Linked DNA regions of Coturnix japonica. Each later gene encodes a partner of the first gene's protein in a complex. Links are inferred from orthologs where the notes say so. Each region holds a gene or a part of one and is shown on either strand. Other genes may lie near its edges.

Region 1 (3,655 bases):
AATATAGCAATGTATTTCTATTTCTGCTACAAAATGATTATTATCAATTTAACTGCAAAAAGAGAAAGGAAGACTGACAGTAAAGATGAGAAGTACATTACCTCACTTCCAGCGCACTGAATCATGACCTGGGACATGTAAATCACATTGCCAAGTGTTTTAATATCTTCTCCCTCCCAACAGCGAATTGCTTCTGTTAGTATTTGTAGTTCAAGTTCTTTCCGTTTTCGTACTTCTTGACATTGTGCCTAACAAATAAGAGGCAAAAATATTCTTTTGTATCAACTCTACCAACACAGAACAGGTTGAGGGTAGAAATACCACTATATATTTACCATTGTCATTGTAGTACACAGAAGACAGTACCTACATTTGCAGCATTTTCATATATTGCTACTACCAGTATTTCCCATAAAACTAGTCTAACTTAATAGTATTTCTTTCTTTAATAGACTAACTTCAATTAGAAATTGGTAGTCACATCCTTGTTTTTTAAATTACCCTTTCCATTTTTATACTTGTGACAAAAAACATCTAGGCCAAGCAGGAAGAAGTAATGCAGCTGTCTTGAATACATATAGCTACACGCAAAATATACTTGAATTACAAGAGACTCGTCAATTGTGCAAACAGAGTACACACAACCTTCTGCTCCTATTTCTGTTACACTTCCTGCCAATCTATTTCACTAACTGTACTCCCAACTTATCCCACTTGCTTTTCCCTCAAGAAGTGTTTCCTTTCATTTGTGAAGTGCTCAGACTCACAGATCCTCCAGCCTTTTCTGAACACAGACCACAGTAAAATTTCTGCTTTAAAATGTAAAAAACGGGAAGTGCCTCCATTGCTAACAGGAAACACAAAAGTTTACTGTAATTGAGAATGCAAGAAATACATCTGTTGCAGTTGTACTTCTTAAATTTAATAGTTGTATTCTTCAGAATTAAGATCTATTGTCCTTTAAACAGCAATATCAACTCATCTGTCCAAAACAGGCTTATTATCTTGATTATTTAAAGATCCCATATTCCCATCCTCATTTGCACTATCTGCACTATCACTTCTCCCCCAGCTCCAGCACAATTCCCCTAGAATGAATGCACCTTTGTACAATCTCAGAAATACACTCAAATGTTGTGGCCCTTCTTTAGGTCACAAGTGCAAACAGAAAGGAAAATGAAGCACAAATAAGAGCCTATTTGCTGTAACTCCCCAACAAGGTGCAGTTCTTAGCCCTGCCCACAAACTACATTAATCTCCAGAGTCCCAGAACTTTCAGCAAATTTTCTTATACAGGTGTGTACAAAAAAGTTTCACATTTTAAAACCAACAGGGATTAAACCAGAAAACATGATGCTGAAAATATACATGATCTATTTTTCATTCCTCTTACAGAAAGGTTTTTGAAGGCTGTCATGGATTTTTGAATATCTGGACGATCTGGATGGTAATCCTAAAAGCAAGGGAAAAAAAACATAGTAAAAAAAATCAGTTTTAGTAAAAATAATAATAAAAATGCTTAGAGGCTTAACTAAAAGCAAATCAACAATCCAATAAAATAAAAGCTGTTAGACCTATCTGTTCTCTTTCCATAACCTTCCAATTCAACATACTGGTGGTCTTCCTCTTGGTAAAAGTGAAATAGGAATGTTGTAGTTGACTCTTTTGCTTAAAAAAGTGTCAAGGAAATTTTACATGTCCTTCTGGACACATAAAATTGCTTACCAACTTGAACTCCTAATACAAAGTGCATATTTTTAAGGGTTTTATTTGGCTTGTTGTCTTTCATTGTAAATACATCACACTCCCTAGATACAAAATGTCAGGCTGTCATTGACTGACAAACCATGTGACTCAGAGTACAGTTTCTAGTTCTCTTTCTCCTTCACAGCTAAGAAATCTAGCCTATAAGATGAAAATGCAGAGACAGTTGATCTTCAAACATCTTCCCACGGTGGAAAGATCATTTCTGGACAGTGTTCAGTAGAAGTCAAGATGATGCATCCAACAGGTTGAAATCCTAACATGAAAAGCAAAACTCCTACAAGATAAAGTTGCCTCAAGTTGTGTGTACAGTAGACCAAAAAAACCCAAAAACAAAACACAAACATCAAGTCTGCAAGACTCTTCTAGGGGTGAAGGTTGGCTTCTCTGTCTAGCTCTACTGTAAACATTTAGCTTTCTCAGGAAGTCTTATTGCACCACCTTCTGAAATATTGCAGCCCATATCTTGGAAGGCTGAAGAAAAAGGAAACAAAGGTAATTTGGGGTCCCATCATGTTTGACATGTACCTTTAAAATAACTGATGTCAAATCATCATTAAGCTGGAACATAAATGCTGATAAGATATACCTCCATGTGCCTTTCAAGCTCTTTGAGTAACGTGGGGTATTTATCCAGACGCATAAAAGGTTTGCTGAGGCCTGTGGTCAGGACAAGGATCCCAGGGCTGTTGGCACCTTTCACCTCCATGAATTCTCCTAGCTCCTCACTGCACACACAAGATATTTAAGCAAAGTAAGATCAAGTTACTAAGAATATTAAAGTTAAATTAGATTCTTCAGTCATTCACACGCCATGAATTCTGCCAATAAAAGGTTAATTCCAATTAATTAAAAAAGAATAATTCAAGAATTTAAGTACAACTTAAGAGATGTCATCATTTTGTTCTTGCTTAACGCAGAGACATCTATCAATCTGGGTTCCACCATACATTCAGGAGGCAGAGATAGGATTTCACTCACCATTCTAGGGGACTGATGCTCAGAGATAGCTCTTAAACGTCACTACACTCAAGGAAAAGTTGAAGAATAAAGCCATTTGCACAGTATTTCATTACTTACCTCTTTATTCTAAGAAAACGACATCTGAACTTAGAAGTGGTTTATGTACATAATGGCCAGGCATAAGCTAGTAAATGGCTCTATACTGAATCAAGTGCTGAATCAAACACTGCTGTTTTTAATGCAGCAAACACTAATGTGAAAGCAGAGAGTAAGAACCTTCTTCCTAACACATTTCAGTGTTTCATGACCTATCACACATCCAAGGTTCTAGTGCAATTTTGGTCATTTGATTAATTAATCAGCAGCCACACAAATGGTAGATGATATCAGGTACTGGCATGCAGTCTATCCTCATGAGCTACAGTTTCAAGGTAGGTATAATTACATAACACTTCTTGACATCAGCATTAGTTCAAGAAACCAACACTCTCCAAACATCATGAATTGATATTTCCTCTACCCATAGCTTTTCATATTTGGATCAACTGACTTGCAGCACATCCCTTCCAGTTGTTACACAAATTCTCATGTTGCTTTGCTACCTTTTAATGGAATTAAAGTTCACTCTGCTATCAGTGAAGCTTACGTTATCTACGTTCTCTGCTTCCTTATACAGCAGAGATTTCAGAGAAATAAGGTAGAGGACAAGTTGCTACTGGTCATCCAAACACAAAAAAAAAGAAGTAAAAAAATAAATCAGCCTTCTCCTTCAGAAAGGAAGGTACAGCAGCACCTGAGCTTATCCCCAGGCTTGAGAAAACACACATTGCAGAAGTACACAAACGTCTGAATACAAGATCTAGTTAAGAAAATCCAGAAAGCTACTCATGAAAAAGGAAATCCTTTTTGCATTCAAGCTAAGCCATTC
Region 2 (3,655 bases), on another chromosome or scaffold:
TAATTTGCCATCTCTAATGAAATAAAAATGGTAAAGCAACAACCGACATCTTCAAAATTGCTTTCACAGTTATCCTGTAAGTGTGGTAATCCAAGCTATCTATTGCTTTAACTGCAGGCAAATTAAAGCAGGTAATACTTCACCTACTATACCACTCACATTAGGAAGCTTTTGCTTTCGCTCACTCAGAGTACGGAAACATTTCTATCTTTTAAAGAAAAAGTTAAGAACCTAAATCATGTCTTCGAAGCAAGAGACCAATCATGTAACAAATTCCACATGGGTATGAGATGGTGCCCACAATGCTCTCAGGAGACGCAATGTATGAATTCCAAAACGTAGAGACATATAGCAGATTACGTCCCGCAACAATAACTTTCCTTCTACTTACTTAAACCAGTTTCTTACTGCTTGACTTCACTCTAATTTGAAGACAGCAGGTTGTCTCACTATTTAAAACCTCCGTTTCACTGACTTAGCAGCTTACAAAGAGCATCTAAACTACTCAAACTGAATTCCTTTCTTGACTAAACTATACATATATGTGTGTATGTGTGTGTATATATGTGCGTATATATATGTTTATATATATACACATATGTATATACACACACAGACACACACACACATATACACCCACTTGAAGGTCCACTAGGTCAAACAGTTTAGAAAACCTTTATTTTAAAAGCTTTTGGGAATTTTTGTTATGCAGGAAAAGACAGATGTTATTTGTATTTTTGTATGCTTAAAATTAGAAAACAGAAAAAGCAGAAAAATGCATTAAACTCATACCCAGGTGGAAGAGGACCTTGGCTGACTGTGGTTAGTGCCTGAGTTGGAGGATTTACTGGCTGGACTTGTCTTGACACTGGAGGTGTGGTGAGTGCAGCAGTTGCAGGAGCTGTTGTTGCTGCTGTTGCCCCCTCAGGGCTCGGTTCTGAAGACGTATTTGCAGTTGCACCTGCCAGTGAACCTGCACTGGCCCCATCATTCTCTGTGGACGTGGATGGAGAACCATTTACACTTCCTATGGCAGATTAGAAAAAAACCAAATTTTTAACTGGTATTTCTCTCGTTATTGGTAACCTATTGCAGAATTTGTAAGTCCACAAGTAAGCATGCAAAAGGTGGTAGTTGGAAGTGCACACACAGCTACATTTTCTACTTCACACAAAAACTAAGGAAAAAAAAAGGCAATTTAGTTGCACTCTTAAAACTGCTTTAATCCAAGAACTGCAATCAGCTGCACAGCTTTGATATTACAAATTATGTTATTTAGCAAAGCAACTTGTCTGCACTCTGTAAACACCAGATGACTATAAAGAAAAAGCCATTTGTTTGCATTTACGGACTTCCCATTATTGCAATAATTTTTGAGATATCATGCATAACATTTTGAAGAAGAGATTTGACACGATGTGGGAAAATGAAGGGTGTGAAAGGGAGAATACATATACTCTTTAAGTGCTTTCAGATTTCTTCCCCCATGCAGGCCATTTGGTAGGCAGTATTAAGAACTATACACCAGTCTTATTACTAAACTACACTGCCTTTACCTTTTAAAACAATTACTGCAGCCAAGTTTTCCATCCAGCCTCAGTATTTATCAACTGTCACAATGAGACCGCCAAAACAGATGGCAGAGTGTGCATGTGGAGGAGTTAACCTGAAAACACCTACCACTGTCTTAAAGTTTTGTAGTTTTGAAATTATAAGATAGACAAAAAAACCTATTTGTTTTCGTGCAATCAATGTTTGAGGTGCTGCTGTTTCAAAGAATTTAACCAGAACAGTAGAAAGAAATTAGCAGTCTTTCAAACCCCACTATTATCTACTTGAGACAGTTCTGTAAGTCCTTCAGCAAATATGTTCATAGGTCTCATTAAAATTAACTGAATGCAACAGTAGCACTCACTCATGTTCTTTTGGCACCGGCTCCAATATATTTAGCAGTATCACTACAATCATCACTTCTCAGTCGTGGAAACAAGAAATTACTCATAAGAGAATCAATGATATTGAATGCAAACTGTTAAAATAGGAATTATCCAAGAATTTACCATGAAAAAAATTGTAGTTATAAACACTCATTGGAAATCTTTGTGTTCATTTTAAGACTGTGCAGCTCATCAATAGCTTTGAAATGGATGTCTGGCCCTAGAATACGCACCAGCTACAGATGCGGGTCTGCGGGGTGTGGGTGGAGGCGGTCTAGCAGGCCTTGGAGGTCGAGAAGGTTTGCAGCTTCCATTTGTGAGCAGTGGAGAATCACTGCCATTAACAGTTTTGTTTTCATTTGGAGCAGCATCTTCAGAGCTTTCAAGGCCATTTGAGTTAGTCCTTTGTAGGAGGAGACAAAAAGGAGAACTATAATAAGAGTGTATGGATGACAAGTTTTAAAACAGAAATGAGAATGTAATAACTATGGCCAGATAAGATTTTTACATTCATGTTAATTATAAAAAACATGTTTGTACAAACACTGAGAATTTACCCCCTGAGGTGTTCAAGACCTCAGTTGATGTAAAGGTGGTGAAACAGATGTACACACATCCACTGCTGAAATCTCCTTTTCATTCCCCAACTCAATATACCTGCCTTCAGGCCCTCTGCATTTTGTTGCTCAGCTATTTCCTCCCATGAATGCCACTATTCTCTAATGAGATAGGAAGCTGATTAAGACTGGAGAACAGCCTGTATGCATTGGCTCCACACAGTAAGCATATGTTCAGAACAAACAGAATGTTTGAAAATTGTAGACAAATTAACTACACACACAGATTTTCCCCCTAAGCTCAGTCCTGAATACTGATAGAGAATTTAGGCCTAAGCATTAACATTTTGACGAGGAGCTACGAATTCATAAATGACATCTCAACTTTTCAAGCACTTCACTTGAAATAGCTGTCTTCATTCATTCTGTATTGCTCAGTTACACCTAGCAATGTATTAATCTGGTACATTCATACTCCACTGAGCAAAGTTAAATGCATCTACATCTTTATGTCTAAAGCATTTTGTTAATCTAGTGGATTGGCAGGTCAAATACAGAGGCCATAAGTAACAAATACACAGGTTTAATTTCAGACCAATGCCTTTAAAATTACCTCTTATAAATGCACAATAGATAGTAGGTAAAACCAGTTAAACCACAAGGCATAAGGGATCAAGTAGAATCACGTATGTCTGACCTCAATATCAATGTCAAATGCACCTTTGTTCTATACTAGGTGTGGTACACATAGAATCACAGAATCACTCAGGTTGGAAAAGACCTTAAAGACCATCAAGTCCAACCGCAGTCTAACCATAGTACCCTAACTCTAACAACCCTCCGCTAAATCATATTTCTGAGCACCACATCCAAACAACCCTTAAACACATCCAGGGACAGTGACTCAACCACCTCCCTGGAGAGCCTATTCCAGTGTTTAACTACCCTTTCTGTTAAGAAGTGTTTCCAAGACAATTCATACCATGCTACAACCACCCTAAAATAAATGACTACGACATAATGTACAAATCATTAGGGATGTGAAGTTTGCAAGAATTATAGCCTAGCTTTCCCCTGGTCCCAGGAAGCACACTGCTTCTGTCAGAACTTTACAGTCAAAAGTATAACCTTTTATCTTTTGTGTACTTATATCAGGTATTT

Evidence for each region. Proteins that work in one complex are often made in the same cells at the same time.
Region 2: the proteins of ARHGEF7 (region 1) and ITCH are in contact, whole or in part, in a crystal structure (PDB 5SXP), measured with the Homo sapiens proteins. The link is inferred for Coturnix japonica from reciprocal best matches to the Homo sapiens genes ARHGEF7 and ITCH. Residues at the interface, in NP_001106983.1 of Homo sapiens: Phe193, Phe195, Thr198, Asp201, Glu202, Arg215, Glu217, Glu218, Gly219, Gly220, Trp221, Glu223, Thr230, Trp232, Pro234, Asn236, Tyr237; in NP_001244066.1 of Homo sapiens: Arg252, Pro253, Pro254, Arg255, Pro256, Arg258, Pro259, Pro260, Pro261, Pro262, Thr263, Pro264, Arg266.

The regions. Positions count from the first base shown.
Region 1 is NC_029516.1:125,581,261-125,584,915, reverse strand, and holds part of ARHGEF7 (rho guanine nucleotide exchange factor 7), read right to left. Parts: intron 2,493-3,655; coding exon 2,354-2,492; intron 1,454-2,353; coding exon 1,394-1,453; intron 249-1,393; coding exon 102-248; intron 1-101. UniProt on the Homo sapiens protein: Acts as a RAC1 guanine nucleotide exchange factor (GEF) and can induce membrane ruffling. Functions in cell migration, attachment and cell spreading. Promotes targeting of RAC1 to focal adhesions. May function as a positive regulator of apoptosis.
Region 2 is NC_029535.1:1,347,758-1,351,412, forward strand, and holds part of ITCH (E3 ubiquitin-protein ligase Itchy homolog), read right to left. Parts: intron 2,341-3,655; coding exon 2,171-2,340; intron 1,028-2,170; coding exon 793-1,027; intron 1-792. UniProt on the Homo sapiens protein: Acts as an Acts as an E3 ubiquitin-protein ligase which accepts ubiquitin from an E2 ubiquitin-conjugating enzyme in the form of a thioester and then directly transfers the ubiquitin to targeted substrates.